7 linked regions of the Bombyx mori genome follow. The protein of the gene in region 3 purifies or fractionates together with the protein of the main gene of each other region. This does not show direct contact. Links are inferred from orthologs where the notes say so. Each region holds a gene or a part of one and is shown on either strand. Other genes may lie near its edges.

What was found.
Region 1: the proteins of sequestosome-1 (region 3) and histone deacetylase 6 purify together in Homo sapiens (affinity purification with western blotting; 6 studies listed by BioGRID). This does not show direct contact. The link is inferred for Bombyx mori from reciprocal best matches to the Homo sapiens genes SQSTM1 and HDAC6.
Region 2: the proteins of sequestosome-1 (region 3) and Rad51 purify together in Homo sapiens (affinity purification with western blotting; 3 studies listed by BioGRID). This does not show direct contact. The link is inferred for Bombyx mori from reciprocal best matches to the Homo sapiens genes SQSTM1 and RAD51.
Region 4: the proteins of sequestosome-1 (region 3) and rptor purify together in Homo sapiens (affinity purification with western blotting; 3 studies listed by BioGRID). This does not show direct contact. The link is inferred for Bombyx mori from reciprocal best matches to the Homo sapiens genes SQSTM1 and RPTOR.
Region 5: the proteins of sequestosome-1 (region 3) and TOR1 purify together in Homo sapiens (affinity purification with western blotting; 4 studies listed by BioGRID, with this or other methods). This does not show direct contact. The link is inferred for Bombyx mori from reciprocal best matches to the Homo sapiens genes SQSTM1 and MTOR.
Region 6: the proteins of sequestosome-1 (region 3) and WD repeat and FYVE domain-containing protein 3 purify together in Homo sapiens (affinity purification with western blotting; 4 studies listed by BioGRID and IntAct, with this or other methods). This does not show direct contact. The link is inferred for Bombyx mori from reciprocal best matches to the Homo sapiens genes SQSTM1 and WDFY3.
Region 7: the proteins of sequestosome-1 (region 3) and trifunctional enzyme subunit beta, mitochondrial purify together in Homo sapiens (affinity purification with mass spectrometry; 3 studies listed by BioGRID and IntAct, with this or other methods). This does not show direct contact. The link is inferred for Bombyx mori from reciprocal best matches to the Homo sapiens genes SQSTM1 and HADHB.

What each region holds. Positions count from the first base shown.
Region 1 is NC_085111.1:17,639,410-17,643,445, reverse strand, and holds part of histone deacetylase 6, read right to left. Parts: intron 3,036-4,036; coding exon 2,943-3,035; intron 2,072-2,942; coding exon 1,941-2,071; intron 680-1,940; coding exon 496-679; intron 1-495.
Region 2 is NC_085131.1:10,828,211-10,832,903, forward strand, and holds the start of Rad51 (rad51 homolog), read right to left. Parts: upstream 3,189-4,693; 5' UTR 2,993-3,188; intron 2,340-2,992; 5' UTR 2,064-2,339; coding exon 1,980-2,063; intron 1,441-1,979; coding exon 1,241-1,440; intron 870-1,240; coding exon 722-869; intron 17-721; coding exon 1-16. Other genes in the region: kelch-like protein 26, read left to right, coding at 3,639-3,746, 3,913-4,062, 4,608-4,693.
Region 3 is NC_085111.1:6,305,984-6,310,766, reverse strand, and holds the start of sequestosome-1, read right to left. Parts: upstream 3,208-4,783; 5' UTR 2,928-3,207; intron 2,355-2,927; 5' UTR 2,352-2,354; coding exon 2,177-2,351; intron 2,079-2,176; coding exon 1,905-2,078; intron 323-1,904; exon of another isoform or gene 161-322; coding exon of another isoform or gene 124-160; intron 1-123. UniProt on the Homo sapiens protein: Molecular adapter required for selective macroautophagy (aggrephagy) by acting as a bridge between polyubiquitinated proteins and autophagosomes.
Region 4 is NC_085123.1:794,485-798,520, reverse strand, and holds part of rptor (regulatory-associated protein of TOR), read right to left. Parts: intron 3,979-4,036; coding exon 3,859-3,978; intron 3,112-3,858; coding exon 2,965-3,111; intron 2,566-2,964; coding exon 2,339-2,565; intron 992-2,338; coding exon 809-991; intron 459-808; coding exon 253-458; intron 1-252. UniProt on the Homo sapiens protein: Component of the mechanistic target of rapamycin complex 1 (mTORC1), an evolutionarily conserved central nutrient sensor that stimulates anabolic reactions and macromolecule biosynthesis to promote cellular biomass generation and growth.
Region 5 is NC_085109.1:10,789,727-10,792,885, forward strand, and holds part of TOR1 (target of rapamycin), read right to left. Parts: intron 561-3,159; coding exon 126-560; 3' UTR 1-125. UniProt on the Homo sapiens protein: Serine/threonine protein kinase which is a central regulator of cellular metabolism, growth and survival in response to hormones, growth factors, nutrients, energy and stress signals.
Region 6 is NC_085118.1:8,496,781-8,500,816, reverse strand, and holds part of WD repeat and FYVE domain-containing protein 3, read left to right. Parts: intron 1-300; coding exon 301-450; intron 451-1,317; coding exon 1,318-1,487; intron 1,488-2,400; coding exon 2,401-2,775; intron 2,776-3,408; coding exon 3,409-3,693; intron 3,694-3,780; coding exon 3,781-4,036. UniProt on the Homo sapiens protein: Required for selective macroautophagy (aggrephagy). Acts as an adapter protein by linking specific proteins destined for degradation to the core autophagic machinery members, such as the ATG5-ATG12-ATG16L E3-like ligase, SQSTM1 and LC3.
Region 7 is NC_085126.1:9,561,915-9,566,741, reverse strand, and holds the start of trifunctional enzyme subunit beta, mitochondrial, read right to left. Parts: upstream 3,229-4,827; 5' UTR 3,106-3,228; intron 3,099-3,105; exon of another isoform or gene 3,077-3,098; intron 3,001-3,076; 5' UTR 2,955-3,000; coding exon 2,891-2,954; intron 2,346-2,890; coding exon 2,174-2,345; intron 893-2,173; coding exon 705-892; intron 1-704. UniProt on the Homo sapiens protein: Mitochondrial trifunctional enzyme catalyzes the last three of the four reactions of the mitochondrial beta-oxidation pathway.

The sequences.
Region 1 (4,036 bases), about 11 Mb from region 3:
CAGCTATTTCAATGGAGTAAACTTAATTGAAGTTCAATTAAAAACATCGAACTCATGATGCAAATACCAAATAAAACGTACCTTTAATTATAAATATAAATGTCGCGTATTAAGCGAACTGTCATAGCCTTTCACCCATGGATATGTAAATACAACATAGCTATACATGTTGGAGTATTTCTACTTTGGGGTAGCGACATGGTAAGCGGGCGGTCTAGAAATGTTAACTCGGAGCGTATATTACGCAGGAGCGTTCCGTCTGATACGGCGACTCGCTCGCTTCTGAGCTCGAGAGACAACAACGGAGCGTATAATGCTATAAAAATAGCAAGGTATCGTGGTGGGACGATGTTGTTTACGACTCTTATCTTGCACGTGTAGTTTTCGATGAATGCTTGCACGTGTTGTTTGTCGTCCCATCTTTATTAGTCATGAACTAATGGTTTATAAAAACACGCGCCGACTTACATACATGATTAATCTTTAAACACTTACTGGATGAATATAAATAGCGTCGAATTTCGATGAGAGCTCTTCCAAATACGCGGCGTCGTCGTTTCCGTGTGTCGTCTCTAACATTTCGTACACGGAGGGCGCGTGTAGCACGCAGAGCTCCTCCTTGGTGGCCGCGCGGGGCTCCAAGTGCTTGCAGCGCTGGACCAGGTTCAGTTCCTGACACCTGAACACGTCATTAAATCTCTTCAGGATTGCTGCCTGGATGTAGCCCCAGAGTGCGGGGAAAGATTCTGGAGCAACTACAATTATTTTTTAATATACAGTAAAAGCTTCTTATTCGCGCCCCTTTATTCGTGTTTGCATTATTCGCGGATTAAAAAAATGCGACCCAATTCCTATATTCGCGGATCTAATAAGTACATACATAATAATAAACGGATTCCAATAAATAGGTATCCAACCCATTATCCTTTGTAAATGCCGCCAAAGACTAATAAAAAAAGTAAAATAGATCTTATTACAACTTGGCCTAAAGTTAGTATTGCGATGAAAATTAGCCTATATTTTTCTCGGAGTGCCGATAGCGAATTTGGTCAAAATCGTGGTTTGGATGTGAAAATGTAACAGACAGACCCTGTTTTCCAATTACAGCACAAGAGCGCATTATGCGGCATAATGCTCAACGATAATATAAACAAAATTTCGATCAATGCCAACTTAAAGAAAAAAAACACTTGTCAATTTTCTGCCACCTGTAGTTTTCCAATTACAGCACAAGAGCGCATTATGCGGCATAATGCTCAACGTTGAATGTTTCAATTGAATGTTTCAACTACAGCAACGATCGAGCACTCTCAAAAGTACTGCTCTCGCGTGATACTCGCAATCGATACCGACTCAGTGACAGAAAATTGACAAGTGTTTTTTCTTTAAGTTGGCATTGATCGAAATTTTGTTTATATTATCGTTGAGCATTATGCCGCATAATGCGCTTTTGGGCTGTAATTGGAAAACAGGGGATATCACATTCGGCATTAATAATACTATTTTATGTATAACTTCAAATATCTAACAATAATATCTTATCTATAATAGAAATCTTTATATTTCAATGTTAGTCTATTAGTCTTCTTTAATTAGCCCTCTTTCTATGCTGTATTATACGGAGACACCGATTTAGATATATTGCCATATTTATTTCTGTAAGTAGTTGATTTTGGTATTTTTTCTGGGGTCTTAAACTCTACTCTAACTTTTTGATAAATAATTTAAACATAAAGAAAATTATACCAAAAATGGTCTACGGTTGGTTATCTTTATAATACATTAAGTCATTCATAATTACCTAAATAACCTAAATAATAAAGAATGTTTTTCTGATCAAGTTTTTAAATAGTGACTGTGGCAGCTCCAAGACTATTTCTATTACATGGTATGGCAGTTAAAAGCCTATGAGCAGTGTAGATTACATATTTTTTACTGACCTCTTGATGACACTAATGAGCCTTTCCGGACATTCTGGGTAATTTTCGTCCCACAAGCACCTGTGTTCTCCCATGCGAGGCTCGGTGACAAATCCGGTTGGACCCTTCACTAATGTCTTCGATTCCATCGCCTGATAAGAAACAAAAACTTTTTTCGTTACACGGGTCAGTTAGCTCATTGCTCACGAGATATTTAATAATGAGAACTCATAGACATTGCAATGTTAATAAGGTTGTTTAGGCTGTTGTACTATTCATTTCAGAATGAATAATTGCTCGGTGGTAGGTATAGGCAGGTTGGTGATACCTACTGGAAATTACATTTTGCCTTTTTTATATTTACATATTTTTTACACACATAACAATGATTTAAATACAAAAAATATGTATGTACGTATATGAATAGAATTTAAATATGCAGTAAATTGAGTGCATTACTCCCACTGAATACCACCTAATGAAAATTCTCTAACTTGTTTTTTTCATTTTTTTTATTGCTTAGATGGGTGGACGAGCTCACAGCCCACCTGGTATAAAGTGGTTCCTAGAGCCCATAGCAAATGCGCCACCCACCTTGAGATATAAGTTCCAGAGTCTCAAGTATAGTTACAACGGTTGCCCTACCCTTCAAACCGAAACGCATTACTGCTTCACTATAGAAATAGGCAGGGTGGGGACACCTACCCGTGCGGACTTACAAGAGATCCTACCACCATTAAAAAATGTCTTATTGAATTGGGTAGTGTTATGCTAGGGCACAGCCAAGCTGCTGCCTACCAAGTGAATGATTACTTAATAGTAATTTACTTAATGGTAATCCATTCTTTTAATTCTCAAAACTAGCATATCACACATCTTAGTGACAGTTACGGTATTTTAAGAAGCCCATGACTAACATGCCATATACCTGTGAGTGTGAAAAGTATCATATTAAACCATACTGTGTGCATCGTAAAAGGGCCGTTACACTTGACATCAAGCAATAAACTAAAAAATACTCACAATCTGAAAATGATCCCTGATCTCCATTACGAAATGATTTTGCTTCTTTTTCTGTTGAGCCTTCTTTTTAGCTGCTATTAAGGATGCTGAAGGCTGAAAAATGACACAAAAAGATTTAAAGACAAAAAACAACTCTCAATATTAAACTAAGCTGTTACAAAATATACATAGAATTTATTTCTTGAAGTCGTTGATACTGATTAGCAACTGACTGAAAAGTAGTTTTTATATAAATAGTAATTGCTGAGTAATAAAATTTATTGTTTAACCGTGACAAAATAATAAAAAATAATATTACTTTACTTTGAAACCAGTAAATTTACTGAGAGATGCGCGCGACTCTGTCCCCTAACATAAATTGTATTTTTATTACTCTCTTTAGACCAGTAGCCTCAATGCTAATACATGCTTTGCCAAGCAAGGTTATAGATATGATATAATTACAAAAAAGATTTAAACATTTATTTTGTCCCCTAGTGAGCACTCAGCTATACTTTGTTCTTATCAATCATGTGCTGGAATTTAATTACACTTTTGAGATAATTAGATAACATACAATGTCGTTTGAAAATTAAAAATCGTAATTCAAAATTTTTTTTGTAATAATACCTCATTTTCACCTGATTTACTTAGAATTTATTTGGTATATTATTATGTTAGCTTTTCTCAATAACATTATCAGATCTCTAACGTAGCCTGATAGTGAGAGAGTGAGTATCCACTTAAAAAATCTTCCAGCCTGTCAACACTCATCTTTCTTTACACCAAGCTAAGATGATAAAGTAAAGCAGCAATGAAGAGTTTCCATTAAAGTTTACTAGACGAATTAGCAACATCACTTTAAATTGTTTTTGAAACTATATTTAGTGTATTTAGTTCAGTGAGCAAATTCATACTGAACATTTGTAAAGTATGTATTTCATTTGAAAAATGGGTATGTGCTTGCGAGATTGAAACACCATTGTATTGTTTGATAAGGATGCAGTGGGAGACTATATTTTTAAGTATTTAAGTACAGCCAATTAACATCAAAAAACCTTTTTAGAAGGTAGGTAAGCATTGCTTAGTTTACAGCAATTTTAATGATTGTATAC
Region 2 (4,693 bases), on a different chromosome or scaffold from region 3:
ATTGTTCAATGGGTAGCTGGGAAAATTTAATAAGGCCAAGGCAATTGGTTTTCAGTAATTTAAAATTACCAATATGGGATTTCTATTTAAAAAAATAATGAAATTATTAGATATTTTACATTTTACAATATTACATAGAAGCGACATTGTTCATTGAACAATTTTTTCTCAATTTTTTTTGGCTGCCACTGAGAAATTACACCTGCTGGGTGGAAGATCTTCCCTTTGTTGTTAACCTCTAAACATTTTTTACATCAAAATATGACCTTACAGTTCTAATATTTTAAATGAACATTTATGACTATTATTTTTTTTTTTATTTTTATTATTAGTATTATTTTTTTTTATTTACTAACAATCACACCACGTTAACTAGTCCCGTGATAAGTTCGTAAAGAACTTGTGTTAGAGGTACCCCCTTGTGTAGTGACCATGTCACTTACCACTACACCAGACGGCCGTTACGTTACCTATATTATACATTCATCATCAACATCATTCTCCTGCCCTACTCCCAGTAACCTGGGATTGGCGCAATATGTTTTCTCCTACCATACCTCTATCATAAACCATTTCTTCGCTCACTTCCGCTCTTATATGAAGTCACTTACACATATCGTCTTTTATGCAATATTACACATTATCACATATCATTATAGTATACATTATTAATATTTATTATTATATACTTTTATTGCAAATTGGTTTAATTCAATTGTACCTGGCAGGTGACTGCTAATGTGTGACATAATTGGGTTTTGCCAGTACGGAATTCACCAAATATTTCAGTTATAGAACCAGTTTCTATACCACCTCCCAGTAATCTATCTAATTCCTTTGAACCAGTAGTAAGTTGTATTATTTCAGCCCTGGAAGAATTCAAACAATACTCAATGTAGATTTGGTTTAATTAAAAAAATCTAATACAAGTATTAGCTGCAGTTATTTTCTGTGTCAAGAATATGACTATACATTACTAGTTCGATACTGGGATTTGAGCTGTGTCCCTTATGTCAGGTCCAATAATTGTGTCATTATAGCCTAAGGTAGATACATAGACATAACAATTTATGTAACAAAGACGGGGTACAAATCCTGCAGGAAGGTACTAATTTTTTTGCTTTTTTACATACTTTGCATGTGTTAAATGTTTTCCACAACTTTGTACTAACCTTAGCCATATTGGCGTTTCATTAATTAATAATAAAAAATATAAATAAATAATTTTAAAGGTACCTACCTCTTTTGATGAAACTCAGTAGCTGTTGTAAATCCCATTGGCACCAATTTAGATGCTTCAGCTAATATTTTATCTGCCTTCGCTTCAGATATCCCTTTAATTGTGATTAGCCATTTTTTTGGAGCATAGGCAACAGATTCAACAGTATGATATCCCGCTTCCTCAAGCTTTTTTATATCTCCTGATGTGATGCCATTGCCCTAAAATAAATTATTCCATATTTTTATTATTTAACAAACAAATTATCACAATCCAAATTTAGATATATATATGATGTACACAATGTTGCAATGAAGTAAGGTTGAACGATTAAGTAGCATCAAATGCAATACAACTGAGAATTTGACTTAATATGAGCATAGACTCATGTTGTTCTTACAGAACGTTTTTGTGTCTTCTGGAGATCTATTTGAAAATTCTTAGAGCAGATAAACTTGACCCTCTTTTACCCTTGTTTTTTCTTTTCTTGAGAGATCTTTTATTTGGAATGTAGATATCTTACTCTCCAAGGCAGGATATGTAGATTTACTTAAGCATAAATAGATAGGATTCTTAGGAGCACTTTATTATCATCCAATATGTTTATTTATTTATTTCATATACACATTAAAAAGAAATATAGTTAAGAGAATGGAATAAATTAGAATTTATCTACAGTATAAGTTGCGCATTGTATCCAATAAGTCAGTTCAATCCAGTAATATTTGTAAGCAAGTTATAGCTTGTCACATGACGTCACCTCTAATTTACTGATCAGCTGTGGCCCGCATTCGTCAGCATCTTCATCCAAAGAAGTCGTAGTTGCTGAAGCAGTGGTATTCATTATTGTCCGTGGCTTTCAAACAATTACCGGCTCATTTAAAAATATTCAAACTTCAGTTGCTTATAAATAACTTTACAAGGTTAGGTGTCTTTGGAGTACACGATTTGGATTATAAAATAATTTTAACTAATTTTTTTTTTATTGTTTGTTAGAGCAAACTTGTAAGTAACATACGCGTTAAAATTTCAATCACTATTTTTATTTTTAAAGTCGACACTGAAGTCTGAAGACATCCGCTTATTTTTTTAAGAGATTTTATGACCTGGTAACTAAAACCTTTAAGTCATGTCTTAATTTAGTTTATATTCTTATTTTTATGAAAAATGATAATATGAGGCCTATAAAATCAAAGGCAGCTAAATCCAAGTCTGTCAAATATTCAGGTAAACTGCAAAAATCAGCCCTAAACACGTCATTACGGATCCTCCCGATCCATCGAAGTACTGCTCTTGGTAAGGCCAGTGTTAGCAACACTCCCGGTTTGAGAAGCTGAAATAGCTTTGTTCGGATAGCTACGATATTCTTTAATTTAAAGCACATTTTAAGCACATAAAGACTGAGAATATTACTAATAATCTGAATTTTAAATGATAAAACTTCGTTTATTAGTTCTTAGTACAGAGTAAAAATAAATTTTTTGATCTGAATTTGTTAGAGATTTAGCTGCATTTGTTATAACATGAAAACACTAAAGCGTGTCCAACTAACTAAACAAGATAGCGCCATTGTTAATCCATTTTGCGACATTGAGGCGTTTAGCTGCCTTTGATTTTATAGGCCTCATATGGAGTGAAATAAAATGAAATGAAGATGATTAATTTGTGACATTAATCAATTGAGATGAAATTAAATGAGATGAAATGGGATGAAATATATGATGGGATGAATATGGGATGAAATATAATCTCAGAAAAATGGTGGTCATTTACTGAGATTTTTTCAGTGGACTTTTTGGAGGACCCGGAGAAGTTACGTCCAGCGGCTTTGTTTCACTTTCCCACATTTGTGCACTTTTACAGATATGAAACAGTTAATAAACCACTGCTATTACACATTTAAACCTGAAGAAACACTAAATAGACAAAATGAAACAAATCACCCAACTTTACTCCTCGCGTTCCCGCCAAAAAGTCACATCCGCTTAAATGTCAAGATCAATCATAGATGTACACATGCTGGCCGTTTTCCAATTACAGCACAAGAGCGCATTATGCGGCATAATGCTCAACTAAGCTTCAGCATAATTCGGCATTGTGCGTCACTGAGTCACATTATGCTCTGTAATTAACCTTTACTTAATGGTAGTTTTCTAATTAATGTTTAATAATGGTGGTTTATTAACTATTTAGTATCGGTGAAAGTGCACAAATGTGGGAAAAGGAAACAAATCTACTGGACGTAACTTCTCGGTATCTTCCAAAAAGTGAAACGGAACTACCTAAATAACCGCCATTTTGTTGAGACTATATTTCATCCCATATTATCTTGTTTCATTTAATTTCATTCTAATTTATTAATGTCTTAAATTAATCAACTTCATCTCCTTTTCATACCTTCGCCTTTCCAGTTTGAAAAATGGAACCTATTACTCAAAATCAGCTGTTAGGTGCAACCACTGGTCTATGGGTGCAACTGACAAGTGACAATTGCTCCCTGCGTTGTCGTAAACATAGAAACACGAATGTAGGTAAACTAGGTACTTATTAACTCCATGAGGTAAACATAAACATACAGAATACCGTACCCCACTGCCAACGAATTTATTTAAATTTTTGCGGGTTAGCTTTTTGATAAAATTGATTTAACTCTATTGAACATTTATAACATATGATTATTGGATTTTAATAAGGAGATGGAGGACACTCAAGAAGTAACACTTTTAATAGAAAATCAGAGATTCACGGCGAACAAAAATGTTTTGTGCGAGTACAGCGACTATTTTCGCGCAATGTTCAGTGGAAACTATATTGAAAACGAACGACAGGAAATAAAAATTGATGTAAGGAAAATTATAAATTATGTTAGCTAAATTAAATTAATGTATAAAATGACAAACAATTAAAACAATAATTATGGATTTAACTCTATGAATAATCGCAAAATGTTTAATTTTTAATCATAATTATCTAGTAGTAGTGGGTAGTAAATTGATAATTTTGCGATTCCTTGATGTTAATGGTACCTCAATCATACCTCATTGTGGAACGTTTGGTGAGGGTAGGCTGTTGACAGCTAACTATTCTATTTATAATATTCTATGTATAGAACGTACCGTAGACGTAGTGTGGCTACCCACACTAGCTCCCTCGCCTCCCACACGTTGGACAGACCACCTATTGAGGTATGCGGGATCTGCTGGACGCAAGCAGTGCAGGCCGATCATTGTGGTTTGGGAGAGGCCTATGTCCATTTGAGGACATCTGTGGGAATAAATATCTACCTACAATATGATAGTGTAACTTAAAAATAAAAAAGGACTGTAAACAAGAAGAACTGTAAATTACTGAATATTAAAAAAATTACTCTTTCTATATCCACTTCCAGATGGTTGATGCATACTCAATGAACATGATACTTCAATACATGAGAATAGGTTTGATAGATCTCTCTGAATACTCACTGACAACTAT
Region 3 (4,783 bases):
AATCCGTCTATTGCTAACGTACTGCATTATAATTAGTCAGCACAAACAATGAAGATGAGTAACTCAAGTAAATGCGGACAGCGGGCAACAATAACAAAATATTACGAAAAGTACAAAACTTACGCGAACGATGTCTAAAAACTTTTAACGGGAACACCATCACAAAATAGTTTGCGGGTTTTATTGCAATTTAAAAGTTCTGATTATCGTTTAGAATCGCACTCCGATGTAAACCCAAACGATGTTATGCAATCGAGTATCCTCCGATGTCAACTCAGATCGTATCTGCGCATGCAGCAATCAATACGAGAGGTACCGGTAACAAAGGAGGAGGCGGGAATAGCTGTGCCTCATAAGGTTGGCGGGACGGGGAGCATTTTATTGGGAAATGGGAGTATGATTTCCCCCCACCCATGTGCAAAATAGGGTGCGCATAAAGTGTGATATCGATTTCGGGAAACTTCCGAACTTACGGAATATTCATGGGACTCAAAAGCTTACGTTTGAGGCTAAAATCTAGCCGATATCTACGTAACGATGCATGCCACCCAAAACCTTATTGTTTTTCCACGATAATCACCACGAGGAAACTACGAACACAAAACAAACATTTCGAAGCGGGAAATATAAATTGGCAGTTGGGCTTGTCAGGCTATCAACATATTTATTTATTAGAGCTTTGAAGTCGTAGTGATCTAAAGAGTAAAGAGTAAGTTGCTCGGCGTACTTGTATCAAGCAATGCGACTATACCGGTGTTCAAATTCCACAAACCAATACCAAAGTAAATAATAGGTACTTAACACGTGTTCACGAAAGACTTGTACGATAAGGATACTTCTTTCTAAATAATTCATAAACAGTTGTAATATTAAGACACTGAGTTCGTTTTTATTTAAACGTTAAAATGTCTTAACTAGAATCAAAAGCGTACAGAGTAAGCCCAGTTACGCCAGTATTAAAAGATGGTACTGCCCTGAAGAACAACTAGTCTCCTATTAATAGATTGTAATAATTGTTATTTAAAGATAACACATTGTTTAGTCTATAATCAAAAACAAGCAGGGTAAGGGCCGTGACGACAGTATAACAAAGCGGCATGTGTCTGGAGAAGGGAATGTTAGTCAATCCTCTCAGACTAAGCCCCGTGAGCTCGCCCACCTGTCAAAGTGATGCCCTATTTTATAGTATACGTAATTCCTAGTTGTAGGTGTTACCTGCGTGGACGGGTAGCACCATTCTGCCTATATCTATCTGCCTTGACGCAATTTATACGATCGGATTTGAAGGGTGGGATAGTTATTACACAATACAATTGAGACTACATCTCATGGCTCTTCACACTGATATCTATAGGCTCCAGTAACAACTTTATCCCAAGTGCACCATGAGGCATTTACCATTCTACACGATAAAAACAAAATACATTATAAGGCATTCACTGACAATGCCAGTTTAAGTTAGAACGTTAGATGTTAAGGCATCTAGGCAATTGAAATCAATTCTATTACATTGCTATTTGCATGAAGAAATATTTGTTATATAAATTATATTATTTGAATATTTTATTGATAGAATTATATATTTGTAGAACTGTAATTAAATATTTTCGAGTTTAGTATTCACATCGGGAACCGGTATCAACAAATGTCTTATTGGATACACAGATAACAATAAACAATAGATAAGCTAATCAATACCTTCGAAAACATAAATACTTGTTGTTTCAGCAGGTATACCTTCATCACTGAAGTCATTCATTAACACGTGTCAGATATAAAAATTTGTAACTGATAGAATTTATTTTACTAATAATGCCATAGACGCTTCTAATGCCTCACCAACATTATTTAAATAACAGAAAACATAATTCTACTCTGTGATTAAATAATCAGAAAAAACTTACCATCCGTGTTTTCTGGGAACATTGTAGTCGCAGTTATCTCTATTTCACAGTCATCATCTCTAATATCTGGATTCTTGCAGTGAACGTTGAGCTTAATCAGCCCACTCTCCAAAGACACTAGTGCAGTCATCATTTCATCATCTGATGAAATTATAATGTCATCACCTTCCTCATCTGAAAATAACCATATTTAAACCATAATTGTTAATCAACTTAAACTTAGAGAAACTGTATTTATTTACATAGTAGAATAAAAACAAAAAATTGATCACCTTTCCATGATACTTTATAAATCTTGTTCCGCAGCTTTGGGTAGACTTCTTGCAGTTTCGCATTCAAATAATGAAAACTGCTCACAACAGTTTTCTCAACACCAAATCTCCTTACTTCTGGCTGAGCATTCTCCTCAAAAAATGCATAAACTTTAAATGGAACTTGGTCCTCCATTTTCTAAAATCAAATATATAAGATATTATGCATTAAAGGACTGCAGCAAAAATAGAATTGAAATAAATACATAGTTGAAGATGCACCTATAGAAAACTGTAAGTATCAGGTGTAAGATCTATGTATAAAGAAGCAAAGATAAAGCAGTTCTGTTGAACAGTAGCGTTTTTCCCTTCTGTTGGTCTTTACTTCCAAAGTTTATATAAAAATTCGGAAACCGTATTTTTTTTGTTTCCGTCTATAGAAGAAAACTGTAATGTAATCCAATAAATCAATCTAATTCAAAGGTGAATCAGTAATTTTAGTAAAATTATGACCACTGGGCGAACACTATTAAACGGAAACACAAAAACGCAAAGATTTTAACTATTGTTTTTAAAAAGGTTTACAAGTGAAAAAAGTTCAATAAACATTAAATGTTAGTGTTATCGCTGCAGCATCAATTTTTTTAACTTTGGTCCGCATGCGCAAAATGATAGGCCATTTTGTTCAATAAAGCCTGATTTTGTTGGCTTTAGATATATTATTCTTGTTGTTTATATAATTAAAACAATTGTATCCAATAGCTTAACTTACTGATTTATATAAATGCACTGGCCGTAAAATGACACAAATAACACGTATTAATACCGGCGTTACAACTAATTAATGGTGTTCTTGAGGCTTTGAATTACTTTTTATATACTTTTATGCAAGCACTATGAATTATGATTCACGTATTTTCGAATGTTAGAGAACGATACAGAAAAACAATATTTTGTTGTGCAATACAGCTGACTTTTTTAAAGGGATATTATGACCTGGTAACTAAGATCTTTAGGTCAAGTCTTATTTTAATTTTAATGAAAACTGCACTCTACGAAAAATGATAACAGGAAGTGAAATGAAGTTGATTAATATGAAACATGGCATGAAATGAAATGAAATTAAATGAGATGAGATGACATGGGATGAAATATAATCTCAGTAAAATGGTGGTCATTTACTGAGACTTTTTCAGTGGACTTTTTGGCGGGAGCGCAAGAAATGAAGTTGTGTGATTTTTTTTTATTGCTTAGATGGGTGGACGAGCTTACAGCCCACCTGGTGTTAACTGGTTACTAGAGCCCATAGACATCCACAACGTATATGCGCCACCCACCTTGAGATATAAGTTCTAAGGTCTCAAGTATAGTTACAACAGCTACCCCATCCTTCAAACCGAAACGCATTACTACTTCGCGGCAGAGATAGGCAGGGTGGTGGTACCCACCCGCGTGGACTCACGAGTGGTCCCACTGTAACCACCAGTTATAACGAAAATTATAATTTTGGGGATTTGATTTTTAATACACGATGTTATTCCTTCACCATGGAAGTCAATCGTGAACATTTGTTGAATACGTATTTCATTAGAAAAATTGGTACCCAGCTGAGATTCGAACCCCGGTGCATCGCTCAACACGAATGCACCGGACGTCTATTTAGTGTTTTTCACTTCTTCTTCAGTTTCAATGTGTACCTAATAGCGGTGGTTTGTTCACTGCTTAGGACCTATCTGTGAAAGTGCACAAATGTGGGAAAATGAAACAAAGCCGCTGGACGTAACTTCTCGAGATCCTCCAAAAAGTCCACTGAAAAAATCTTAGTAAGTAAATGACCACCATTTTACTGAGATTATATTTCATCCCATATCATCTCATTTCATTTAATTTCATTTCATCCCAGCTGATTAATGTCTCAAATTAATCATCTTCATTTCATTTCACTGAATATCATTTTTCATAAAAATATGAATATAAATTAAAATAAGATATGACTTAAAGGTCTCAGTTACCAGGTCATAAAATCCCTAATAAAATCTACTTATTGAGACTTTTTGCGGGAACGCAAGTGAAGTTGTGTAATTTGTTTTATTTTGTCAATTTAGTGTTTCTTCGGGTTTAAATGTGTAATAACGGTGATTTATTAATTGTTTAATATGTGTGAAAGTGCACAAATGGGGGAAAATGAAACAAAGCCACTGGATGTAACTTCTCGGGATCCTCCAAAAAGTCCACTGAAAAAATCTCAATAAATGACCACCATTTTATTGAGATTATATTTCATTCCATATCATCTCATCGCATCTCATTTAATTTCATCCCAGTTGATTAATGTCACAAATTAATTGTCTTCGTTTCATTTCATTTCACTCCATATCATCATTTTTCATAAAAATATGAACACAAATTAAAATAAGACATGACTTAAAAGTCTCAGTTACCAGGTCATAAAATCCCTAATAAAATCTACTTATTGAGACTTTTTGCGGGAACGCAAGTGAAGTTGTGTAATTTGTTTTATTTTGTCAATTTAGTGTTTCTTCGGGTTTAAATGTGTAATAACGGTGATTTATTAATTGTTTAATATGTGTGAAAGTGCACAAATGGAGGAAACTGAAACAAAGCCGC
Region 4 (4,036 bases), on a different chromosome or scaffold from region 3:
TCTCCCTCACTCTCTCTCTCGCTCCCTCTCCCTCCCTCCCCTAAACTACACTATACCAGTCATAGACAACGGCCTGGCTATTGCTGACCATGAGCACCGGTAACCACTCACCATCAAGTGAGCCGTATTATACTCGCTTGCGGTATTATTTTGGGATTGTTTACAGGCCCCGCAGGCCGGCCCGCCCCCGCGAGCTGCTGTCCATGCGCTACCAAGTGCTGCCGGTTACCACGGTTTCTAGTAAGCACTCACATTTACCGAGATCTAGCCAGACTTGGAAGGCGGTGAGCTGATCCCTGAAGAACGGCGAGTGGGAGTAATCCAGCGGATGTGGAGCCGAAGATAACGTGACCAGCTGGGCCAGCGCCGAGTCCAGGGTCTGCTCCCACGCCGCCCACAGCGGGTGCGCGGCCAGTGACGGCAGCGCCGGACTGCTCACGGGGGTGCAGTTGTATGATCTAGGAGTATGCAAGTAAGGGTGGATTTTCCAAAACATTATATTAATAGGAATGTAAAATATGTATTTATTATTTTCTATATTGCATTTTGGGCGCAGCAACAAATAGTTAAATGAAGAATGTTGTTTGTTACAAAGTGTCAATGACATGCAAAGGACAATACCCAAAAATGTCAAATGTCCTTTATTCTCAATAATATAACAATATAAAATAACAAAAAAAATATTAATCTACTACTGTAATTAAAAGTTCAGAAGTTTTATACAGCCTCGCAGAGTTCTTAGTTCTGATCGGTTACGAGACATCACAATGCTATCGTGGTGGGCCCCACCAGCTGTAAAAGCACCAACCTCATAATCCTGTCGGCGAGTAAGAAGTTCCTGCAGAGGCTGGCCGTCAGCAAGTCGGCCCTGAACAGCTGCTGGAAGAGGTCGGCGGGCAGCGAGCTCCAGGCGATGGTGTCGGTGATGGCCGTGAAGATCCAGTTCAGTTCGCCCAGCATGGTGCGGCGGTCCGTCACTTGGCCAGGGATCCTGGACAACAAATTCAATGTACTTTAAAAACTAATTACACACGCTTTCATATGAAAAACTGAATACAAATTTAAGTAATAATTTTTTAGTTCAGTGCTCCTGGTCAGCATATCCCGATATCAAAGTAACAAGACTGTAGTCTCGTTATCTCCCCTTGGTGCGCGCGTAACTATCCAAGCTGATCTGAGGTCGTGGAGCCGGGTCGTTGCATTGAGGTTTCATCACATATATGAGTCGTCTATTATCAAAGGTGGCAATCTGTGCATTTGGACAAAAAAATGTTATTGATATGTCAATACAGATTGATTTGAATACAATCGTCTCCTTCAAAGAATACGGTTCAAAACCTGCATTAAATAAAGGTTAATACTTAACCTGTTATTTATCTAAGATGTCGTTCAGAAGAGTTTTGTGACTGCCAATGGAATACAAAGTCAATAATTCGTTTTTCTGATTTACCAATAATTGTCCAAAAGTCACATTGCCGGCTTTGATAATAGTCGACTCACATACATGTCGAAGACTGTCATTAGTTTGGTAGCTAAACGAAACGCAGTACGATTCCCGAGAGATGGCAGCACGATCGCGATGGAGGCGCGTATAGACATCATTGACACCTACCAACCAGCCTTCTTGAAGAGCGATGCCTCCATTCTAAGAACTGGCATTCGTTTTCGTTTGCTGACGTCAAGAGAAGATTTCTAAATTGTTCTAAGACAACAAACGTGTTTTATGTACTCAATATTTCTTTTAGCTCGATCACCCTATTCGCCCCTACGATGTCTGACGATGGTGTTAATAATGCGGTTTCTCCGACATACATATCGATACAGGTCAAGCTGATAAAAATCTGTTGTCAATAACCGACTGCACAGTAGGGATGGCGATTCGAGATCGATTAATCGAAGGATCGATTTCTCGAACCAAAAAAAATATCGATTTTTAAATCGATATGTAGTTCTGACTCGATTCAGTGAATCGATATTTTACCCTTGATATTTCACCCAACTGCACAGACTTCTGTAACTATTCGAACACAATTACTCACGCAAGACTACTCATGGCTAGAAGCGTACATGGCCTAATAGATAAGACGCCCAGTGTACTTGTAGCCTGCAAACATGTCATTGATCAACCCTGTTTGCCTTAGGCCAATACAAATTTTTCTTAAAGTTATTCATCATTTTTATATAGTAAAAATATATTATACTGTGATAATTACACCATAAAATGAATCTCTTGTTCGATTTTTACATGACTTGAATACTACAGTGGAACTGCGAATGTCCACAGGCAACTGTTATCACCGAGCACCACCACAACACGAGATTAAGAGACGATACTGACTTATCGATGAGGTCGTGCAGGTCCCTGTCGGCGTATCTGGTCCGGGTCCTCAGCACGAACCACTTCATGGCAGTCTTGACCGGCGTGGTGAGGCAGGCCGTGAACAGGTCCGCGGGCAGCTCCGGGTTCATGGGCAGGCTCTGTCCGGCGGCGCAGGCGGCCAGCTGGATGCAGTTCTTGTACGAGACCTGAGGGATGCTCGAAGTGCCTTCTTCATTCTTCTGAGCCTGTCCACAAATGATGAATTAAAACTGTGTATCTCAACTTTTTCACCTACAATGTTGTCACCCTATGAAGCGTTCACATGAACCCTACATAGTACTGATAAAACAGATTACCATATTATTGTTTCTGTAGCAAATGCTCTAGTTTTACTTAGTATGAATATCGAAGGGTGACGGGTTATAGAGATATTTAAACGAAGTTTTTGCAACCTTAAGAAGAGTCACTTAAAGTTTAAAATTTGGAAAAAAAATCCTAATTAAACTTAATTCAAGGTCAATTAAAAACATCGAACTGTTGATGCTATTACTAAATAAAACACACTTTTAATTACAAAGATAAACATCGTTCAAACGAATTAGCCTTTCACCCCCTTGGTTTAACAAATATCATATAGCAGATACCTCGTACTCCCTCTCGTGTTGATCAGCAAACAACTTGAAGCTGTCGACAATGATGCCGGCGTTGGAGCAGTCGTACACGTAGAGCGAGGGCGCGCCCATCCACGTCTGCAGGTCGTACATCGACAGCGGGATGTACTGGGTGTAAGTCTGGGGACAAATACCTTAGTTTTATTTTTTAGTTTGGTTTTTATTAATTTGTGACATCTAAAGATGTCGGCGCAACGTCACTATTTAGTAACTAATATTAGTTAAAGTTAACTGGTTCCGCTGGATGGCGTGAGCATTAAAATAGGTACGTTGAGATTTTCATCTGAAACTTCAAGATGAGTGGCATCTTTCTACTTACGTGTACTGTCTCATCTGTTATCTGCACAAGTTTGCCTAGTTCTGAACTTTTTATTTATTGCTTATATGGGTGGACGAGCTCACGGCCCACCTGGTGTTAAGTGGTTACAGGAGCCAATAGATATCTACAATGTCATCAAATGCCACCACTCACCTTGCGATATGAATTCTAAAGTCTCCGAAACGCATTACTGCTTCATGGCAGAAACAGGCGGGGTGGTTGTACCTACCTGTGCGGACTCACAAGACTTTCTACCACCAGTAACATTGAGCGGTTTCTTTTATTTTGTATATCAAATCTAATGAAACCATGCATTTTTCAAATGCGTACTTAAAAATTTTCAAGTGTGTATCGTATTGTGATCGCCATTTTTTCATTATTAAAAACTAAGTTTTTTTTTATTGCCCTTGCAGGTAGACGAGCATACGGCCCACCTGAAGGTGAGTGGTTACCGTCGCCCATGGATTTCAGCAATGCCAGGGGCAGAGCCAAGCCGCTGCCTACAAAATTAAAGCCGCTGTCTAAATTGATTACAATTAAAAACTCACCCTATTAAAGACCCAGATCTCTCCCTGCGCCGTCGGCTTGGGTACGCCGTGTCCGTTGTAATGAAAAAGCACGCGTTCATCTTTCGCGTTACGTCGCAGAGAGCAGCACAACTTTTTTACCTGTAAAACCAAACAATGAGTTACTTTTTGTACGACTTACGACCACCTTACAACCGAT
Region 5 (3,159 bases), on a different chromosome or scaffold from region 3:
TAATAAGATACTGTTACGTTCTCAGATCGAGCGAAGTTGGTTTTCGCTTAACATTTCTGTGTATATATATATATATATACACAGAAATGTTATATATATATATATATACCATTACAGTTGGTCCACTACCAGAATGGACACCAGCCGATATAGCACTGACAGAGGTTCTCATTGCTTGTCGCCTGCTTCACGAGCAGTTCCACTTGTTGGGGCACGCTCACTATAGATTCAACATTAGGAAAGTCCCTTCCGGTCAATTTGTCCCTAATCCTGTTCAAAATGGCGACCGCGCGTTTATTTAGATTAGCCTCGGGCGGGATCTCTGGTGATTCGTAAAGCAAATGATTTCGGCTTCTGTTCGGGAGGGTGTACGAATAGTCTATGTCTGAGGAGAACGAGGACTCCGTGATGGAGTGATGGTCGTTGTCTACAAGCCGCCAGTTCAGTAACGGGTCGTAGACGAAGGCTTCGAGCACAGCCATTACGCTGTCTCTGTGTTTGTGGAGGACGTGCATCACAGATTCGCAGGTGAAGCGGTACGTACCTTCGATGCCGGTTACCTGGATCAAATTTATTTATTTACTTTATTTATTAGGCACACAATACACATAAAAAGCAAAAAAAAGATACACAATAAATAACAACAAGTAAAAAATCTGGCTGTTAACATAAGCCATGTGCGCACGACTAATCAAGATAAATGTGTTGAGTACACAATGTTCCTTACAAATATAGGATAAAATAATGATAACGAAAACTAATCTAAAAAAAAATCTAAAAAGAAGAAGACTTACTTAATCTACTATTAATATTTACATGGAGGATGCCCTTGAACATGAAACGTTAAAATACTGATGTGAGGTAGAGATCTTTGACCTGAGACGGCAAACTGAATGCCGCCGCTCACTTTGAGAAATATGGTCAATGTCTTCAATATACTTTCCAACATCTATCTGACGATTTAAACTGAAACACGTGACTGCTTCGCGTCAGAAATAGGCATGACGGTGGTACCAATACAACCGTGCGAGATTACAATACGTCCTACCACCAGTCATGCGTAAAATTGCTTTAGCGGGTTTGATTTTTATAACATTATTACTGGTGGTAGGACCTCTTGTGAGTCCGCGCGGGTAGGTACCAAAACCCTGCCTATTTCTGCCGTGAAACAGTAATGCGTTTCGGTTTGAAGGGGGAGGGGGCAGTCGTTGTAACTACGAGTATACTGAGACCTTAGAATTCATATCTCAAGGTGGGTGGGGGCATTTACGTTATAGATGTCTATGGACTCCACTAACCACTTAACAGTAGGTGGGCCGTGAGCCAAAAGCCAACCAAAGCAATAAAAAAAAGACGTCGTTATTCATGCATCAAGGATGATGTCTTTAGCGAGCACGTGCTATGTACGTGTTTTCTAAAAACTGTGGGATTTGAACATGGGCATAGTCGCATCGCTTGACACGAGTAAACCGAACGCCTTAACTTTCGGACCACGACGACTTCTCATATTTCTTTGTTTACATAATTTGTCCTGTCAGAATCAAGGTCATTTTGCGTGTCAGATCGACATTGAAATACATTTAACAACTACTATGTACCTACAACTATGAGGGCATTATTTTTCAAGAAGTTCAAATCTGATGACATAGCGTGATCAATTAATTTACAATTACATGTTGCGATGCGGACGAGTTTTCAAAGAGACCGTTAAATGATAAAGATTGACTTCAATAAAAATTTTAAAAGTCCATCTTGATTACTCATTCGATCAATTATTGGGGGCCGTTCACGTAAGAGCACTTAGCGTAGTTATTCTATATCATTATTTAACTTAATTTCCATTAATATAGCAAGTATTATTTGATCGTGTTTGATTTGTCTAAGCTAAATAAAAAAAAACTAATTCGATAATCGAATGTAGCACATTTTTTTAAAGAAGAACCTCATAGGTACCATTTGAAAAAAGTTTCACTCAAAAATCTCAAACCATGAAGGTTCTATGTCAGTTCGAAGTTCCTATTACAATAGAACGGCAATTCCATACTTTAATCCCTATTATTAAGATTATGAGAAAAGATAATAGTACTGCCAGTATTTACGAAATTATCTCCAATGATTTTTTATATTAACAATAATTTAATTTATTTAGATTTGTAGTTCAGAAACAACAAAGATACATATTGCCGGATAAAGATTGCTTCTGTATCCTACCTATAAACTACGAGCCGATCTGGAGACCTGTCGTTACGTAGAATCGCGAACCAGGGAACGCACTATGGTATTTATTATAGCAGATATACTCGGCATTGTCCGGGTTATGTTATTTACCACGATAAAACTTTTCCTATATCTTTTTTTATTGGCTTTATATGGTAGGCGACGTCCATACGACCGACCTGACTTTGGTTAACGTCATGAAAGTCAGTAGTGCCAGAGACTGAGCTAACTCATAACATATGAATATAAAAAAAAACAAGTTATAAATTATCTATAAATACTATAAACATTATATTTTTTCTGTGAATTAATAACAAACATATTATGTAAATTTTCATATTTATCAAACATTATGTATCGATTTTCTTAGCTGTTCAACTGTTGTATTTGATTGCGTATGAAAACTGTTTCATGGTCGCGGGTAAACATTAGTTTAATTGCTAGACTGTGTTGTTGCTACCAACTTGTGATATAATACATGTATTATTAATAATTAGTGATTGCGAACAGATGACGAAACCTGTATTGTGACGGTTCGACTTTGGATTTAGTACTTTAAACACCCTTCTTCTTCACAACCGTTTCACTCTTGACAGAGTGGTCGTGATCGTCATGTAGAGTTTGGGAAACGTGATTACGGATCCTCCCGATCCTTTAACGGTGCTTTTAGGTAGCTCGAATCACCGGTCACCGTCCTTGTCGAACTAGTAAATTAACCTATATACACAGCCTACTGAGTTTCTCGCCGGACTTTCTCAGTGGATCGCGTTTTCGATCCGGTGGTAGATTCTGCGAAACACTGCTCTTACTAGGGCCAGTGTTAGCAATACTTCCGAGTTGAGCCCCGAGAGCTCACCTACTCGCTAGAGTAACGCTGAAATAGCCTCTTAAAGCTATCAGCATAGGTAGGAAAAAAAGTGTTTGGATACTTTAGATTGACGC
Region 6 (4,036 bases), on a different chromosome or scaffold from region 3:
TTACTGGTGGTAGGACGCTTGTGAATCCGCACAGTTAGGTACCACCACCATGGCTATTTCTGCAGTGCAGCAGTAATACGTTTCGGTTTGAAGGGTGGGGCAGCCGTTGTAATTATACTGAACCTGAACCTTAGAACTCATATCTCACGATGGTTGACGTCATTTACGCTGTAGATGTCTATGGGCTCCGGTAAACACACACCAGGCCGTGAGCTTCCACCCACCTAAGCTATAAAAAAATAAAAATAAGCCTAATACAGAAAGGGGTTAATACAGAAATTATTGTTTCGATGATTTTAGATGTAGGAGAATGGGAGCCGGAGGGTTCGGGTGAGTGCGGCGCCCGCGTGTGGTGCCCCGACCTGCAACACGAAGGACAGTGGCATCACCTCGCGCTCGTGCTTAATCGTGCTGTCCTCAAGAATTCCTCTTTTTCCCTTTACTTGGATGGTTAGTTTTGTTTATCTCTGATTAATTATTATGATTAAATTCATTTATTTCAGATAAAATATTAATCCCTATGTTAGTAACAGTGACTTCTTAAAAAATATGTTAGTAAGGACATAGTAACATAACAAAACAAAATAACAACATACATACAATTACAATTAATACAGTTTACAATTACGAGTACATTTTGTGAACCTCTCTACAATGATTGAGAAATTTAGTTGTCTTCTAATTCTTTTTCGGCAAGACAATTGAAACATCATGCATAAATTGAAAATCGCATTTAACTATTATATTATGTAGGTTTATTAGGTATTCATTCGTTACTATCAATCAGCCGAAAAATACGTAGCATTCTAGGATTATTAAATTTCGGCAAAAGGTTAAATAACCATGATTTCAAATTAAAATTGAATTTTTATTTTTGACTAGCGATCTGCCCTCGCTTCGCTTCGGAAACATTAATTTTTTTTATTATTGATAGCTGAGTCTCGCGATGTTACGCGCGGTTATTGTAGTGGCGCGGGTGACGCCGCGAGGCGAAGTTAGTCTAAAAGTAAAACAGTTAGGCCTAAGTTACTTATATCATCAGCTATCTATCAGTGAAAGTCTTGTCAAAATCGGTCCAGCCGTTTCAGATATTAGCCGGAACAAACAGACAAACAAAAATTGTAAAAAATGTTATATTGGTGTATCTATATACGACCCTTTTTTAAATCTGCCTTGAAAAATATTACAAAGCACTCGTCTAATGGTAGGCAGCGGCTTGGATCTGTCCCTGGCATTGCTGACATCTATGAGCGACCACTTACCATCAGGTGGGTCGTATGCACGTATGACTTCAAAGACCATATAAAAAAATTGCAGGTCAGCACATGCACTCCGGGAAGCTGCACTACGTGAGCGCGAACCCCGGGGGCGGCGCCGCCACGCTGTCGGGCGCGTCCAGCGTGTACTGCGTGCTCGGGACGCCCCCGCAGTGGCGGCGCTACTCGCGGCTGCTGTGGCGACAGGGCCCGGCGCTGCTGCTCGAAGACGTGCGTACCATTGTCACAGCATTCCCGATCCCGCGGTCAGAATGGAAAGCAGACGACGTCGCCCCAAACGCGTCATTTCGGATCCTTCCGATCAACTAACGGTGCTTTTAGGTACCTCAAGCACTGGTCATCGTTCTCGATGCTCGACGAGTAAATTAATCCACAGACACAGCCCACTGAGTTTCTCGCCGGACCTTCTCAGTGGGTCGCGTTTCCGATCCGGTGGTAGATTCTGCGAAGCACGGCTCTTGCTAGGGTTCCTGTTAGCAACGTCGTCAGGTTTGAGCCCCGTGAGCTCACCTACTAGTTAAGGTTACGCTGAAATAGCCTCTCAAGGCTGTCAGCCAGGTAGGAACATTTTTTTTTGCATTTCGTGCTGTTGGGTCCCTCACTACTAATTGTAACCTCCCTAACTATTGAGCTCATGTCTTCCTAGCGTTACACAGTAACTAGACATATTGAGGCCAAAATCTGACCCCTTGAAACACAAAGTCGAGGCCAAAAATTAATTGTTGTCTTCATCTCTGTTGACTAACCTATCTCACTATGACCTCATCAATCACAGCTAGACCTGCCATAGTTAATTTTTTATTTATTTGTATCTAATATCATTTAAAGTCTTTTAGAATTTTTGTAAAAACTGGATAATTAACAGTTATTATGAAATAGACTGTCTGTTTATTGTTTAGTCAGTCAGTGGTGTTCCACGGGTATTTTTTATTTGTTAAATAATTGGGTGGACGAGCTCACAGTCCACCTGGTGTTAAGTGGTTACCGGAGCCCATAGATATCTACAACGTACTACACTTATCTCTTCAGATTTTACTTTTTTTAAATAGTATTGAAATTCTTCATATAGATGTCAAGATAATATGGCTGTACATTTTGTATTGACACATACATACATTTCTAGGTACTCACAGCACAGACAGTGTCGGTTATATACCAACTGGGTCCCCATTACGTGGGCACACTGCAAGCTCCACTGCCGCCGGGACAAAACCAAGAACCTCTGACGCCTCTAGTCGCAGAAGAAAAAGTTATTTTCGGAATTAATGCACGAGCGATGTCTCAATTGACCCTCGCGAAGATAAGGAAAGTGTACAGTAAAAACGACAACAAGGCCATCGCAAAGCAACTGGGCATGTCGTCGCACGAAAACGCAACCCCGATACGGATACTCCACAACTCCGCGGGACACCTGATGGGACCCGCCAGATGCTTGGGCGGCACCGTGGTGGGCTATTTGGGAGTCAGAGTATTCTGTTCGAAGCCAGCCGCGATTATGGTAATTATACATCTGACTAAACAAGCACAATGTATTGTTAAATAATATCAAGAGGCAAATGGCTATTTAATGGGTTAAGCGACATTTTTGCAACTTCACAGGAGAGACATTTAAATTTTTTTAAATTTTGGAAAAAATATCAGAACAAAAACACTACTTCAACTATTTGAAAGGAGTAAATTTAATTGAAGTTTATTTAAAAACATCGAATCATTCATACTAATACCAAATAAAATGGACACCTGTAATTACAAAGATAGATGTCGCGTATTAAGTGAAATGTTGCTTAAACCAAATAGCCTTTCAAACTTCGATATATTCTTTGGATACATCTTAGTCTTTGTTGTTAAATAGCTTAAAAAAAAAAGTGTAGGTTGATAATTTCGACTGTATCTATTTATTTGTATTATCTTAAAACTTCTTTAGGTTAACCAATTTTGTTGTATCTTTTTTTTGGAAACTGTTACTTATGTGGTTCCGCTTCACATTTATCAAGATCTGATCGTTAGTTTTTGAGTTGTCCTAAATAATTCATATTTAATTGACTTGGACTGCATTGATAATATTTTAATTTTACTTTTAAAGAAGTTGGTTTTCTTTTTTGTTAAAATTTTATTTAATTTTTTTTCATAGATTGACACGGTGGGCGGTTGTTCAGTGCTGTTGGGCTTGATCGCGATGGCACAAGACGTGGAATGTTTGTACGCCGGCGTTAAAGCGCTAGTGTGCGTCGTTCGATCGAACAAATCGGCTCAAGCCGAAATGGACCGGCGGAAGGGATACCAAACCTTAGCTATGTTATTGAAGAGGAAAAAGCAGCTATTGAATTCTCATATACTCCACCTTGTATTTGGACTGGTCGGAACTGTGGACAGCCAGAAGGAAACATCGTCTATTCCTAATTTGACAGCTTTTCAAGTAAATGTTCTGTTAAAATCCAAATATGAGTTAATTTTGCAAATACAAAAAAAATTCAAAATTAATTTTGTATTTATAATGTTTTAGGATCTCATCTGCGAGCTAGAGGTGTGGCTCGGCGCCCCCGGTGGCCTGATTAAATCGTTACTGGAGCATTTATTAGAACTGGCCACTGAAACGGCTCACAGAACGCACAATTTACGCACAATGAGAGAGCTCCAATTGGTTTCCAAACTTTTATACATAATTAATGACGTAAAAGTCGTCAGCACAAAGAACGTTCTAATACAATTGTTAGCTGCTTTATTAGGGGGGCAGCCCAGACCGAGCGATCTGTTATGCT
Region 7 (4,827 bases), on a different chromosome or scaffold from region 3:
TTCCCGACACAAATAATGTAATGTAAGTATTATTTTATACGTCATTTTTTATCTATTAGAAAAAAAGTCCTTCTTTTTAAAGGTAATTAAAGTTGATATCAAGCATAGAAATACTTTCAATTTAAAAAAAAAACAATGGTTTTTTGTAGATTTTTTTTGTTGTCGACTCGGAGATTTTACTAGTGGTAGGACTTCTCATGAGCCCGGAACAGGTAGGTATCACCAGCCTGCCTGTTTCTATCGTGAGGCAGTACTGCGTTTCAGTTTGAATAGTAGGGTCTGTCTACTATATAACTGAGTTTAACAATTCATGTCTCAAGATGGGTATTTACGTTGATGTTGAAGGGCTCCGGTAACCATTTAACACCAGGTGGGCCTTACCCACCGATCTAGGGAATTAAAAATCAAATCTGTCACAAATCACAATTACAACATCTCCATTATGTGGAGAGATGGTGGATCAAGAGATATAAAGAAGTTTAAAGAAAACTAATGAATGGCTGAGTTATGACTATATGTACTCAAATCAATTTTTATTAAAAATGTTTAAAAAAATATTAAACATTTTGGTTGTTGAGTTTAAGATTGACGAGATATCTGTAGATCTTTATGATAATTAAAACACAGATGTGGTAATCATTATCATATACAAAGAATGAGATGCAACTATATTATAAAAAACACAAATAAATTGTAGCCCTCACCAGTGGTGATTGCCTGGTTAGAAGAGATGCAAGCCATGGTGACGGTGTGCGCTGGAGTCCTGTCGCTGAACCCAGCCGCCAGGGCTGCCTCGCGCCCTATATTTGAAGTTTTCACCTCTTGGATCACGGTGCCATATACAATGTAGTCAATGACATCCTTCGATATACCAGTCTTTTGTAGGAGACCACTATGAAAATAGACATAAGACACAAAATAAAGATCTCTGTAGTGTACTAGTGATGGTACTTATTCTCCTTCATAAAAAAAAATTACTAAGTGCTGGGTTTTTAAAACATAAACACACAGCAATCAATTAAGCAAATGACTTCATGGTTGTTGTGCAAGTATACAGACTTGGTGAAGATTGTTAAAAAATACAATTCTACCCTTCTTTCTTTTCAGGTTAAAATCTTACATATTTCATATACTGTCTTACATTACTTTAATATACATTAAAAATGAATATTAATAAAAGTCGTCATCGCCTAAAGGATAAGACGTCCAGTATATTAGTATTGATAGATGCAACGGCGTTCGAATCCACTTTACTTAACAAATGTTCACCACGATTGACTTCCATGGTGAAGGAATAACATCGTGTAATAAAAATCAAACCCGCAAAATTATATTTTGCGTAATCACTGGTGGTAGGATCCATTGTAAGTATGCACTGGTAGGTACCACCACCTCGCCTATTTTTGCAGTGAAGCAGCAATGCGTTTTGGTTTGAAGGGTGGGGCAGCCGTTGTAGTGTCGAGTTTCAAGGTGGGTGGCGGCATTTACGTTGTAGATATCTATGGGCTCCAGTAACTACTTAACACCAAGTGGGCTGTGAGCTCATCCATCCAACTATGCAATAAATAAATAAAATTAGTTGTGGCCTAGAGAATAAGATGCCCTGTGCATTATTATAGAGTAATGCTACTGTATCAGTTATCCAATCCCACAGTCAAGTACTAATTGGACAACAAAGGAATAACATAGAGCAAAAATACATCCTGTTTTTTTTTGTGTGATATTTATTTGTGATAGCAATTTGGCACCAAGTGGGCTCTGAGCTCGTCCAGCCATCTAACCAATAAATCCAGATACTTCAAAAAAGTAGCTCGCTCGTAACAGAATAAAAACACAAAAAAGAGGCCACCAGACTATGTTGGAAATTTGACGCAGTCAGTTGACATCACCAGTTAGATACCTAGAGAAAGACCCAAGATAAGTTGGTAGTGCTGAAGGAGAAGAGGGTATTCAATGTCACTGACGATGATGTCAAAGACAGCTAAGTAGAGGAGAAAATTAAAGAAAGCTGACCAACCAACATGTGATATACATAGTTAGAAAGAGGGAGACAGCGAGATTGCTTAACTATTTTAGTCCCTCTCAAAGTCTTATGAAAATAAAAAAATATATATATGTTAATCAAGATTACCTTTAATCTTGTCTTATTAATAAATCTTTAAAATCAACTTACAGAAGTGCATGTCTTGCTAGTTCATGGGGCATCATCCTGGCATAATCGGTGAATGAAACAAGGAATGGAGTGCGGACTCCATCGACAAGCACCACATTCTTGCCTGTACGGTCTGGGAGAGATTTCTTCTGCTGCAGTACTGGCGCTACACTCAGCGCTCGTCTGGCAGTATCTATTATAAAAAAAAGTCATTTTATATTACCACATAAAATATATTGGGCGAAAAGCTAAAAACTTGTCAATGTTTAGCCCAATTAAACATTCAAATACTTTTGTTTAGATCAAAAATAAAATATTTGTACAAATTCTAATTAAATCAGGTTCGGTTTCTATTACATGATGATGTTCCTTCATTGTGGAAGTCGTGTGTGGGCTGTGTGTATTGTCTGTGTACGTATTGTTTGTTCTATTTCATAGTAAAGTTTGTATGTTGCCTTAAATTTATTTTGTCTAAGAAATATTAGACAAAACATTGAAGTTCCAAAATAAATGTCAGGACAAAACATTTTCTATTAATATAATTTGGCAACAAACAAGCAAATTTATAAACAAGTCTGCCAGGATCACAGTCCAAAGTTTGCTTTTCAAAATTATAGATAAAACAACCGATTTGTTACATAAACATGTTTTAATATGCTTTGATGGTCGTAACTGGACTCTTGTTTTGGGACGTTATTGTATATTTATCGTAAATTAATTGTATAATTTGCAACTTACCGAACTTAACAGTAGATCGTACGTGGTTTGCTTTTATCAATGATTTAGCGACTTGTGAAGCCATTTTAGTACGGCACTTCGGACAATTTTTCTTTAAACAGTGAAGATTTCTGCAATAAAATGCTAACGTTTAAATATTAATTAAATTAAAATATAAAAACTTCAAAATAATTGTATTCTATTTAGTGAAAAAACTTGGAGAGTTGGACTCTGACCTATTTTACACCACAGATCAAGAAAGCGTTTTGGGGTTACCGCTTCATTTTCGTAAAAAGCCGCTATTGGTGAAAAGCTACTCTTTGCTATTTTCATTTTGTCTATTAAGCGGATGTAAGCGGAGGTTATGAATTAATCATACGATATCATAAAGTCATATCTATCAGACCATGGAGAGATAGCAAAATATCTTTTAAAACCAAAATGAGACTTGTCCGAACTCTAGTGGTCTCAATGCTTCTCTATGGTGCTGAGACGTGGACTCTGAAATCAGCTGATCGCCACCGCATTGGTGCCTTCGAGATGTGGTGCTGGAGGAAGATGCTATGAATCTCGTGGACAGCATATCGGACTAACGGATGGATATTAAGACGGTTCTATATCTAAACCAGGCTCTCTACCATCTGCCTCAAGAGGATATTTGACGATCTTGACGATTTTGAAAAATTTATAGTAACTGGGAAGATTGCAGGCAAAAGGTCTCGTGGCCGCAATCCAATGCGCTGCAGCGCTGGTCCGACCAAGCCCGCACTACTCTGGATACCACCGTCTACGATGCTATACACACCGCCGAGAACACAGAGGAAGATGGCGAAACATCATCTAGAGAAGGATAATGAGAGGAGATGGTCACGGTCTTCAGATATGAGGAATGTGACACAGGGAGGAGGATCATAAAATAATGCAAATATCAACTGCTACTTAATTCTTAACCCTGGTAGTGGCTGAAACATTACTTTTTTGTTTACAGGGAAGATTATAACCTGTGCTAACTAGGTAGTGCCTTAAAGATGGATTTTAGGGAAGTAGTACCAGTAGCTTGAAGTTTGTATGTAATCACGTTACCCACACAATCAGATTGTTACTATGCAGTATATTATAATTAAGATTCAAAAACTAATTTCAATACTTTCTATGATTAAAAACGTGATCTTTTCTTTTTCTAATTAATCCATTATCTGTTGTTTTTTTCTTTTTCTTGTATCACTGTAAATGTCATATTTGACTCTAAACATTTCGTTACAATTTATTTACGTCCATTAACGACTCGACTTTTAGCCACGATTGCTTTTAATCGTTCCCTATTTTTCTATGAAAAAAAGAGTGAAACTTTGTAACGGCTTTTAAAGACTTTAAAATAATCCTAAAAACTAAGCATGTCAATCAATTTTGTTTCATTTCCTCTAATTTCAGTACATCCAAACACTAAGCAGATCTATTATTTATTAGACACGGTTTTAACATGTTTAAGCCCTTTAATAATATTATTTAAGAAGCGCTGAGTTGGTCTGAAGTTTGAAACTGATGTCTACACTACAATTCATGCTTTCGCTTAAAAATACAAACAAATGCAACTCTTAGAACAAACAACAAATGCATCTATTTGTACTCTTCTTTTTTTTTCAGTATAGCAATCGAGATGCCATTGTTTGCCAGTTTCGAGGTTCTACAATTTTCAGACATGAACCCAAAACCAAACGTAATTGAGAATATAAGTATGTTACTAGTGTAAGGGCATTTTGTAGGCCGCAAGCTATGTACCATCACTCTGCCTATTACTGCTTCAAAGCAGTAATTCGTTCCGATGGTGGGTTAGCCGTTATGCTGTACAGTTGACACTCATATTGTGGGCTCTGGTAACCGCTTAACATTTTTGGGCTGTGAGCCATTTTTCTATGGAATTAATAAAGATAAAAATAATTAATTTAATTTGTCAATAT